2 linked regions of the Caenorhabditis elegans genome follow. The protein of the gene in region 1 interacts with the protein of each later gene in a pairwise test. Each region holds a gene or a part of one and is shown in the gene's direction. Other genes may lie near its edges.

What was found. The genes of interacting proteins can lie anywhere in the genome.
Region 2: the proteins of nfi-1 (region 1) and sma-9 interact in a two-hybrid assay, tested with the Caenorhabditis elegans proteins (one large-scale study listed by BioGRID).

What each region holds. Positions count from the first base shown.
Region 1 is NC_003280.10:7,536,581-7,543,062, forward strand, and holds nfi-1 (Nuclear factor I family protein), read left to right. Parts: upstream 1-1,699; coding exon 1,700-1,717; intron 1,718-2,119; coding exon 2,120-2,383; intron 2,384-2,438; coding exon 2,439-2,519; intron 2,520-2,574; coding exon 2,575-2,673; intron 2,674-2,728; coding exon 2,729-2,860; intron 2,861-2,916; coding exon 2,917-3,271; intron 3,272-3,436; exon of another isoform or gene 3,437-3,457; intron 3,458-3,686; coding exon 3,687-3,945; intron 3,946-3,994; coding exon 3,995-4,290; intron 4,291-4,332; coding exon 4,333-4,470; intron 4,471-4,734; coding exon 4,735-4,867; intron 4,868-4,914; coding exon 4,915-5,201; intron 5,202-5,250; coding exon 5,251-5,398; intron 5,399-5,578; coding exon 5,579-5,678; intron 5,679-5,796; coding exon 5,797-5,958; downstream 5,959-6,482. Other genes in the region: ZK1290.13 (MARVEL domain-containing protein), read left to right, coding at 92-346. UniProt on the Caenorhabditis elegans protein: Probable transcription factor which recognizes and binds the palindromic sequence 5'-TTGGCANNNTGCCAA-3' present in promoters. Plays a role in locomotion, pharyngeal pumping, egg-laying, and life span.
Region 2 is NC_003284.9:10,771,271-10,776,112, forward strand, and holds the start of sma-9 (Transcription factor sma-9), read left to right. Parts: upstream 1-1,820; coding exon 1,821-2,384; intron 2,385-2,436; coding exon 2,437-2,592; intron 2,593-2,660; coding exon 2,661-3,198; intron 3,199-3,622; coding exon 3,623-4,074; intron 4,075-4,259; coding exon 4,260-4,335; intron 4,336-4,559; coding exon 4,560-4,842. UniProt on the Caenorhabditis elegans protein: Transcription factor, probably acting as a transcriptional activator and repressor, involved in the TGF-beta-like dbl-1 signaling pathway.

The sequences.
Region 1 (6,482 bases):
TTTTGCATTAAAAAAAAATCACAAATTTTAATGAGCAGATCCAATTCAAAAAATTGTGACGTATGGCTTGTAGTTATAGAATTTCGTTTAGGATGAGACATTCGATGGGACTGAAAGTGAAATTTCAAATATTGGTGGCACCTCACCAGCATACCCTGTAGCCTATAGAAATAGGCCACCAAAACCAAAGAGAATGGCAATTCTAGAAGAAGCACAAGTTGAAGAGTATACACCGGAACCTTCTCCTGCTCCAAGAAGAACAGTTAAGAATCCAGTTCATCAATCAGATGCAAGTCTTGCATCCAAGTTTAATTCATTGTCAAGATTTGAAGAATCTGCTTTTTGATTCTAGTTATTTTTATGTTATTAGACATGGTGTCAGAATGTCCCATGTGAAGATCTACGAGAACGGCAGGAATTTAGGCGCAGCCTTTTCAACTAATTTCTCATAGTTAAGAACGTGCTGACGTCACATTTTTTAGGAAAAATCCCGCATTTTCTGTAGATCAAAGCGTAACGGGGGATCCTGACACCACGTGTTATTATTAAACTCTAATACTTGTTTGATTTGAACTGTTGAACTGACGACTTGAGCATTGTATTTAGCATGCTATAGAACTGATGTCACATGATTTTTGTTTTTTATGGAACGAGGGAGCAAACAAATGAATAAAATAAATTTCGAGGTTATCTTTTTCTGTATGTTGCAAAATGTTTTTTTACAAAACGAAATTTCTGTTTTTTCACATGTTCGCAAGAAACTTTCAGCTATTTCGAACGTTAAACTGATGTGCGATTTTTATCGATTTTTAATAGTTTTTCTCACGATTTGCTAAAAATTTTATAACAATGAAACAACATTTCTTTAAGCACAAGCCTTGAGAAAAACTATGAAAAACCGATAAATATTCCGCAACAACGGAGGTTTGAGACTACAGTACTCTTTTTTAAAGACGCGCACCATTTTGCAATAGTTAACAATATCGTTGCGAGACCTGCCGTTTTATTTAATCGATACTTTCTTCTTTGTTTTTTTGTTTATGAGTTTTCTCTTTTTCTGAACAGATCGCTTGAGATTTTTCGTTAAATTTTTTATTTGTTGATAATTAATAAATAAATTTCAAAAATTCGATAATCTTCATTTTAATTTTTAAGAATTAATTGTCATCTGTCAGTTAATCAAGATTTCGCGCGGAAAATTCCGTTTGAAATATGGCCGCTGGACTAGTATTTGTACGACCCTCTGCGCATTTTTGCTCTATAGTTAATTTACCGTAGTTTGATTCGCAGCGCATCCCAGACCACCTGTATTTTTAATATTGGCTATGAAAGAGCAAAATATGAGCAGATGAATGTGCAGAAAAATTTATAAAGTTTCCAAAAATATATTTGAATCAGAAGAAGTGTTTCTATAAGCTCAATAAAATTGATTAAACGAGAATTCATTTAATTCAAATTGTTGCCAGTGTTTATTATTATTTCGACAGAAAACTAATCTCGAAAAATATTTTACTTCTTCAATCATTTATTTTCTCATGATATTTTGCGCTCGGTGCCGCTTTTTTCTTCTTTAACGCTTGTCAATTTGTGATATCGATTTTTAAGTGTTTCAGAATGCAGATTATCTGAGCACAAGCCAGGACACCGATCGCAGCAGCATTGCGATTTTTTTCCAGCTCTGGGAGATTTTTTGAATAAAATGGAGCCGCATCTCAAGGTAATTTATTTGTTGTAAAACATTTTGCAGCAGGTTCGCTGCAAATAATTACCTCGCACACACATGCCGGTCTTCATATCGATTAATTTGACGAGTATTCGCTCGACGGGCGGTGTGATTCTATTCATTCAAAATCTTTTCGCTTGTTTCCTTATCTGCGCCTCTTTAAATTTGTGGAGTATTTTTGCTGTTGCTATGAACCAACTATCATCAAAAGGCTATCTCTTCCTATATGCAGTATTATATATGAAAATATAAACTCTTTTTGTAGATACTTTTGATTTTAAATTATACGAATGGAATCTCAGGTAAAAAAGAAAACTTGATTATTAATTTGAAATTTCAAAAAAAAAACTCGTATAAGTATATCAAACAAAGAAATAAACTCAAAATACTTTTCAGATCGATGTCAGCTCCGCCAGCGGTTCGACGACCACTGGTGCAACAGCTTCAACATCAGAAGCACCTCAAGACTCACAGGCACAGCAGACAATGCCTCCACCATCTTCTGATTGGAGTAATCAATTCAATTCTCCAGAAGCCGTGAGTCCGAAAGCCAATGGTATCAAATGCTTCAGTCCTTACTCACAGGAAGATATGGGACCATTTGTCGAACAACTTCTACCTTTTGTCAGAGCAAGTGCCTATAATTGGTTTCATCTGCAGGTAGGAATTATTGAATATAATTTTTAATTTTTCAATTTCATTCCCCTGTTTTCAGGCAGCAAAACGACGGCACTTCAAAGAATTTGATAAGAAGATGTGTGCGAGTGAAGAAAACGCGAAATTAGCAGAATTACAAGTAAAATACGAATAAATATGAACAAAAATCATAAAGAAAATTGTTTGCATTTCAGAATGATAGAGATGAATTAAAAGTGAAATGGGCTTCCAGACTTTTGGGAAAAATAAAAAAAGATATTCAAAATGACGATAAAGAAGCGTTTATTTCGGCTGTAAGTATTTCAATATTTATAATTGATTTAATATAAGGCGAAACCAATTTTTTAGATCAATGGAAGTGAGCCGAACAAGTGTATTATATCAGTTGCTGATCAGAAAGGGAAAATGCGGCGAATTGATTGCTTACGCCAAGCTGACAAAGTTTGGAGGCTTGATCTGGTTACTATTATTTTATTTAAAGTGAGTTTTTAAAAATCCTATTGCCTAATACTTCAAATAAATTTAATATTTTTCAGGGAATTCCTCTCGAGAGCACCGACGGCGAGCGTCTCGAACGATCCGAGGCATGTGTCCACCCTCTGTGCATAAATCCTTTTCATATGGCGATTAGTGTTCGCGGTCTTGACGTTTTTATGGCAAACTATCTGAAAGACGTTGACACTAAAATTACATTGACCTATCCGAGAAATGATGAACTTTCTGATACAGTGATGGTAAAGCAAGAGCCCGGTGAACAGACAATTGTAGCTCCTCATGCAGTTCTTGGCACAAGTTCTACTCATACTCGTGTCTGGGAAACGAATTCCGAACGAAATGCGGAAACAATCATTATCACTTATGATCCACAGAAAGCTTGCCATACTTATTTTGGTAAGATTAAATTATTCTAAAACTCTCTATAAGCAATGAATAAATTGAAAGCTATTGAGAATTCACCATGACATTCTGTCAGCGAAAAAATCCAATTTTATTCAAAATAAAAATATATCCATTTTGCGACGCAGATAAATCGTTTTGATTAATTTATAAATATGTTAAATTGTCAAGGGCTTTAAAATTTTGTGAAACTGTTCAAACGCGATTTTTGTGCCAAAATTTCAAACTCTCGTTGCTTAGAAATTCCCTCTCCCTCTATTTTTCATAGATTTATATTCAATTTCAATCGAAATTCCCCAGAAACAAGAGTTTGAAATTACAGTACTCCTTGAGCACACCTTTTTGCATATTATTGGCTCGAAATTGCAAATTTCCAATAAGAATTCCAAACTTTAAAATAAATTTTCAGGTGGTCGTGCTACTCTTGCCCAACAGTCTCTTTCTGCGGGAAACACGTATATGGTTAACAAAACCGCAGTCGACAACAACTTTTTCAATGCAAAAAGATCTGTTCTATGTCTACCACCTCCTCCGATTCAAAATTGTTTTCCTTATCCCATCGCGGGAACATCTGATTCTCAACAAATGGATATGTCGGAGGATTCCAACGATGGACCTTCAGAGAAACGAAGTCGGGATATATCATCGCATGATTCTCCTAATTCCAGGTAGAACTTGAAAAAATAATTAATATAAATATTTACACAGTTATTTCAGCACTAACGACGAAGTTCGGCGGATAGTGGAAAGTGGAACGGAAAAATTGGTACTCGGAAGCTCCATATGGGCAGCACCAGGCCAATTCTCTCGTACACAACAAAATCAAGGAGCTCCCGGAACGAGTCGGCAAGTGAGACCGCTTCCCGATTTTCAAAGTCAAGATTCTGCGAGGAGTCCGGGTGCATTCCGTTCAACAGCAAAACCCGTTTGTCGAATGACAGTGAATACTGGAAATCATGGCGATGTTGGAGTCGTTGTTGTTGATGAAAGAAATCGGGAGCATGTGATTCATGGTAAGCACGATAATTTTAATGAATAAAATCATATTAATTCAGCTCAACATATAGTGAATGCATTGAGCTCACTTCGAACGACACCATCGATGCGAGAAAGTCCAGTTGGCAGAAAAAGAATGCATCCGCATACGAGCAATTCATTTGAATTTTTGAATTGCAATCAGGAAATGAATAAAAGTTAGTTGTTTTTGTATACGTGACCCTCATTCTCGCGAAAATTACTAATATTTTTCAAACACGAAACTTTTTTATATTAAAAAGCTAAAAAAATATGGTACCCGGTCTATGGAAAATCTACGAAACAAACGTTCGAAATTACAGTACACTTTAAAGGCGCAAACATTTGTGTATTCCATAAATATTTGTCGTGATGAGACCTGGTATCGTAGTTTTGGAAGAATATATGTTTAGTAAAAGTTGAATTTATTTTTTTTGTTTCAGATGAAGGAGCTTTAGGAAGCGATATTTCACCGACTCACACTGCTGTTTCTAATCTAATCAGCAGAGAAAGTAGTGGATACATGGCAAGCCCAACAAAATTCACAACAGCACGCGGAGATACAACAAGCTTCAGGTTTGGCATCGTATCCCGATCATCGTTAAACAATTTTTTCTTTTCAGCAAAATTTTCCAAAAGATCGAAGAGAAACATCTGCAACATAATCAACCGAGCACGAGCTACTGTAATTCACAAATCCAACCACCAATCTTATCATCGAAACCAGTTGATTCATCAGTGAAATTAATTGCTCCAGTTGCAGTGAAACCAATTATGTCAGGATGTAATTCAATCATTCCATCACCCATCACAACTCCTCGTATAACTCCTTCATTTCGAATGCTTGAAGATGATTCATTGATTAATGTACTTGGACAACTTGCACACAGTAATGACGGAACAACTTTAAGTATGATTTTATGAACATTGAACTATCATCCCATTGCTTTTTTTTACAGACGATAGCTTCATTCAACATCTTATTGATACCAATTCTCGATCTCCATTGCTTAGTAGTGGAAATGCTTTTTCGGCATTATCAATGGGAGCTGTGAGTGGATTAGTTCCTGGTAATTCGATTCATCGTCCGGATAGTTCTGCAAGCAAGTAAGTTGAACCATATTGTTTTTTTTCTGAAAATAATGTATCAAAATAAAATGTAATTTTAAAAAAATCTTTCCAGAAATATATACTTTTTTTTAAATTGGCCAAAAGCTTGAAAATTTTATTAATTTCAAATTTCAATCTAAAATCAATGTCTTGTCTAACCAAAAAAAGTTTCTTCAGCGGATCGAATTCGTTGGGTGTAGCAATGGGATTGGCCGTTCCTCAAAATATTGCACTGGCCGTCCAGCAAACTCAAAATGCAATGTCACCTCTTCATCAAGTAAGTTGATATTTTATAAACATTTATAATCAGCAGCTTTTATAATTATTCTGAAAAACACCTTACGAAAATAATTAATCGAAAGATGTAAGCTTTTAATTGTGTAATTCATCGCCAGATTCGTGTTAGCGTTGGAGCTCCACCAGCATGCTCCCCGTCATCATCAAATTCATCTCTAGGAGCTGCAAATCAAGCACCGGTCTCAAATACTCCACAAGATCCGAATGCTCCAAAGCTGCCAACTGACTTTTCACATGCTCTTCGTAATGAGAAAAAATGATTTTGATATTCCTGTTAATCTTTTTATTCGTTTTATTTATCCCTTTCGTGTTACCAATTGAAAAATTAGAGTTATCAAACCTAGTCCTTCTTTAGTATTATTCAAACTAGTTGTTATTTTTATTATTTTCATTTTTCTTCAATCTTCAAAACATTTTCTCCGTCTGTGACGTCATAATCTATTTTTCCGAACCTCTTTTGAAAACCAAAATCCACAAAAAAATCAATTGTTTACGGGGCCACACATTTTCCCTTTTCTTTTCTTCACCGTCACCTCTTTATCTTGTAAATCTGAAAAACTTTGAAAAAACGTCGTAGCTATGCACAATTGTAATCACCACTTCCAGTTTCCCAGTGTTTTCCTTTTATGTTTTTTTTGCGTATTTGAACCTCATGTTTGCATTTCTTGTGTGGGTAGTTCAGATTATTTAATTTTTAAAACGTATTTTAATGAATCTTGAATTTTTATCAAGTCGTGAAGCACAACATAGATTCAAAAGAAATTGGAATATCATATCATCAATA
Region 2 (4,842 bases), on another chromosome or scaffold:
GCCCCTTCTTTTTTTTCTATTTCTCATCCATCCAAAGTGAGGGAGAAAAAGAGAGAAAAAGAGTGAAAGAGTGCTTTTCTGTGCACACATATCACTTGGTCTGTTAGTGTCATGGGACCCCGGGGCATTTCCTCCTGTTTATCGTTTTCTCTGGGTTCAAACGAGAAAGGATCTTTCGGAATTGTCAAGGCTCAAGCATCTCTTCTGAGCCAATGAGTGTTTTTTCTCTTTATCACAAATGTCTTTTACTTTTTACACGCTTTTTACAAGATTTGAATGATTTGTTTCCGAAGAGATAGAGAAAATAAAGATATTAATCATGAAAACTTGTTAATAGAGTACCGTAATTGGTGAGGTTTAGCTTATTTGAGTGCAGAAAAATTTAAATCTTGAAGTTTTCTTGGCGAAAAATTAAAAAAAAAACAGCAGAACTGTGAAATAAATATTTGCAGCTACCAGATACATCTATTTTAGTCATTTGAATTATTGAGAAAAACAGACTACATAAATGAACTACAGTATACAACTTGAATTAAAAAAGGAGTTTTTGACTGAAAAATAACCATTTTCTAGCTTTAATAGACATAGTTTTTGGCTTTGATTTTTTGTTAACGAAAGCAACTAGAAAACATTCAAATTTCAAATGTATTTAGTCATTTTCTGCATATCAAAACTATTTTTTTAAACCTGATGCTCCAAGTGTTTAGTTAAATTTATATGTAATAAATAATTTTGTTTTCCATTAATATCAGTTTTGATAAAACTAAAGTAATACAGTAGTTATCCACCACAATTTGGTGCCCTGATTGTCCTCTTAATATTTTAATTGTACGAAATTTTGCCATCAACCAACCACACTCACTTTTTTTGGTAACTTTTCTTCCCATTTCTCTACTTCTCTTGCATTTTGTTATTTCACAATAGTCCACTCTATCTTCTTTTTCCAATGTCCCTCTCAAATCATTCGCGCCCTGTTTAGCACCCATAGAGTCATTGATCACTTGGCCAACAGCCGGTCTCCCGGTAATGATAACGGGAAAAGTCAATGAACATTGAGTGAGAAAAAGAAAGAAAGAGAGAGAAAAGGACAGAGAGCAGCAAATGTGTATGTCACACACTCTTTTAGTCTCATAGAATACTAATCGATCACAATCACAAGTTACAAAGAAGTGTTGAACATTTTCAAGAGCTGCAAATCTGTGATAAGGTGACGAAGAATTGAGGTGACGTACTCTTTTCCCGTTTTTTTAAATTGTGATAGTGTGAGTGAAAAGATTGCGCGAGTAATGGGTAACCGTTTCGAAGACTGAACTGCATTCATGAGAGCCTCCAATCTGTTGCAGGAGTCAAAGTGAGGCAATTTGCGTCTTGATTTGATATGAATAGAAAAAGAATGAACGACAATATATTGTCTTCTGTTTTGATTAATGATTTATTTCAAGACATTGTATACAGTCTTAAAAACATTTGGCAACGGTTTTAGTAATTGTTATTTTTATTCCCCTTCATTCATTGTAATGAAACATATTAGAGAAATCAGTATGAATCAAATCAGAACGACGTTTGAATTGATAGGAATGAAGAAAAAACGTGACCACTCTTCCCCGAATCATTAAAAGTGAACCTTGTACCCAGTTTGCTGTAGACAAGTAACTTTCATGCTAATTATGGTCTCATGTGAACGTCACATGGTTCCAATCACTTTCTCATTATTTTTTGTAATACGTCTTCATCTCTCATTTTCCCCCTTATCTCACTTTGTTTTACGATGAACTTAACTTACATGAATCAAACTTAAAAAGTGGTTTTAGAATTGGCGAATGAGCCATCAGGCAATTGGAATCTCGAACAACTTTCAGCAGGTACAACGTGAGCAGCTAAATCATCAACGATTATTACAAGCACAGCTCCAGACTAATGGACCTGGAAGTGTTTCTCAGCAGCAGCAGGCTTCGCAGCAACAACAGCAAGTGCAGCACGTCCAGCAGCAACAACAGTCGCAGCAGCAACAGCAACAAGTTGCTTCACAACAAAACCAGCCGCAATTGCAAATGAATGCTCAGATACTGCAAGCTTTGTCAACACCACAAGGACAAAATTTAGTTAACATGCTTTTGATGCAACAGGCACTTAATGCGCAACAGACTGATACTCAGAATCCACAACAAATTATGCAACATCAATTAGCTCAACAGCAGGCACAACAAGCTCAGCAAGCTCAACAAGCGCAACAAGCTCGACAACAGGCAGAACAACAAGCTCAAGCCCAAGCTCGTCATCAAGCTGAGCAGCAGGCTCAGCAACAGGCACAGCAACAGGCGCAGGCACGGCAACAAGAACAACAAGCTCAATTAGCAGCTATTCAACAGCAAGTCACGCCACAGGTTTGTGTTTAGTACAAAATTGATAATTCGAAACTTTGATTTTTATTTTAAGCAATTTGCTCAAATATTGCACATGCAACAGCAGCTTCAACAACAGCAGTTTCAACAACAACAGCTCCAGCAGCAACAACTTCAGCAGCAGCAACTGCAACAGCAACAACTTCAACAACAACAGCTCCAGCAGCAACAGTTACAACAGGTTCTACAGGTGAGTTGACACAGAAATAGCATGTTGATAACTTGAAATTGGCGTTATTTTATTTTTTTTTTCTTCAGATCTCACAAGCCCAACAACAAGCTCAACAAGCTCAGCATGTCCAGTCTAGACAAATGCAGCCGTCCCAACAGAGCCAGGTACAGGCGCAACTCCAGCAGCAACAGCAATTGCAGCAGCAACAAGCTCAGCAGCTTTCACAGCAGCAGGCGCAGCAGCAACAACAATTACAACAGTTACAACTGCAGCAATTTCTTCAACAACAGCAACAGCTTCATCAGCAACGTGCGGCTGCCCAACAAGCTCAGGCTCAGAACAATGCTTCACAACAACGCCCGTCGGTTGCATCGACGCCTGCATTGTCTTCAACTCCACAGTTGAATGATCTTACACAGACAATGCAAGCCCAGCTTCAACAGCAACTGCTTCTCCAACAGCAACAGGCTCAGGCTCAACAAGCTCAACAAGCTCAGCAAGCACAACTAGCTCAACAGGCTCAACAGCAACAGCAAGGGCAGTCTCAAAATAGAACAGTTTCTCAAGCACTGCAATATATTCAGTCTATGCAACTGCAGCAAAGAGCCGATGGAACCCCAAACGGTACGTTTAAATTTTGTATTTTTCTCTGTTTTCATTTTCTCACGTTCACACGCTTCACAACTCTGTGTCTGTTTCCCTTCTCTGTTTTCCCAGTTTCTCCCTTCCCGTTTTCCATCGTTTCCCTTTTTTGCCAGTCCACATACGTTCAACCACACAACCACACCACAACTCTTTGAAAATTATCCGATATACGTATATGACATCAAAAATATCATAGAACATTTTGTTTCCATTTGTTTTTTTTTGAAATATGCATGCAAATAGATAGTGTGTAAACCAACAATAATTAGAAAGTGATAAAGAATGAGATTTTTGTAACCATTACTTCAGCTTTTCTCCTGAATCATCTTCTTCTCTTTTTCTGTGCACCACCTTCTAACCATTGGTTGTTCAAACACGCTTACCCAATATTTTTCCCCTTCAGCAGAGTCACAAGAAGAGAGGTTGGCTCAAATGCTGAACGAACAACAGCAGCGGATGCTGCAAAATCAGGCGCGCGAGGCACAACATCGTCAGTTGCTCATTTCTTCGACGCCTGCTCCTCGAGGTGGTATCACCATGGGAACTCCAATTGGTATTGCAAGGAGAGAAGAGCAGCCGGTACCGTCTACGGTGGCGGTAACGACGGCACCGGCTGCAGTCCGCACGCCTGTTGCTGTGCCACCTATGAAACAAAATTCTAACCCTTCCATGAATCCATCATCCACATCTACGTCTGCATCTGCCACAAGCAGTCATCAGATTTTAGCCCCCTCGCTCTCCAAACCACTTGAGCAGCCTTCCTCGTCGAAGGCCGCATCGTCTGGCAACGAGTCGATGTCGGACCACATCAGCCGAATCATCTCTGAGAACGAAGTCATTCTTCAAGGAGACCCGGTGAGTGCCGAATTCTTCTAGCGTGATGGGTTTTCTTTTTTTGAATAATTCGCCCCCTGGAGTTTGATGAAATGATACGGAAACAATACCAGACCAAAATAAAACAAAACCTTTCATGTTTTTATTCATAATTTCAAATCTCATTTGTCCTTCTGTTTGACGTCTTCGAATCTGTCCATTTACAGGTGATTCGCAAAAAGCGGCCATACCATCGGCAAATAGGTGCGCAATCCTCGGTCGATCACGACAGTAATAGTGGTGGTGAGTTGTGGTGTGGTTGAGTTTCTTGAAAGCATCGCTCCATTACCCTTGTCCTTCTATCCCAAGACAAGATATTGTCTCCTTCTATTACTCGCCCCAACGTTTCCGCTATACCGTCTCGATTTGCATGCCAGTGCGTGTCTGCACGTGTCCATATCTGCATATTATATATTGATGAATATTGTGATTGTCCCGTTTGTCCCTTAATGTTTTATATTTTTCAGGATCAACAAGAACTTCGCCTGGGCCAAAAGACAGTCGTATGTTGCAAGCTGCTAGTCGGAGCCAGAGTTTATTCGAGCTTAGTGGATCAAAACATTTCATGGGCAGCTTGACTAGTGGTCAGCCATTGCTTCGTCCGATTCAGGCACATAATGATCCTAACTACACACCGGAGTGTATATACTGCAAACTCACGTTTCCCAATGAAGCTGGTCTCCAAGCTCACGAAGTTGTTTGCGGAAAGAAAAAAGAGCTAGAAAAAGCACAAATAGCACAAGAAGGAAA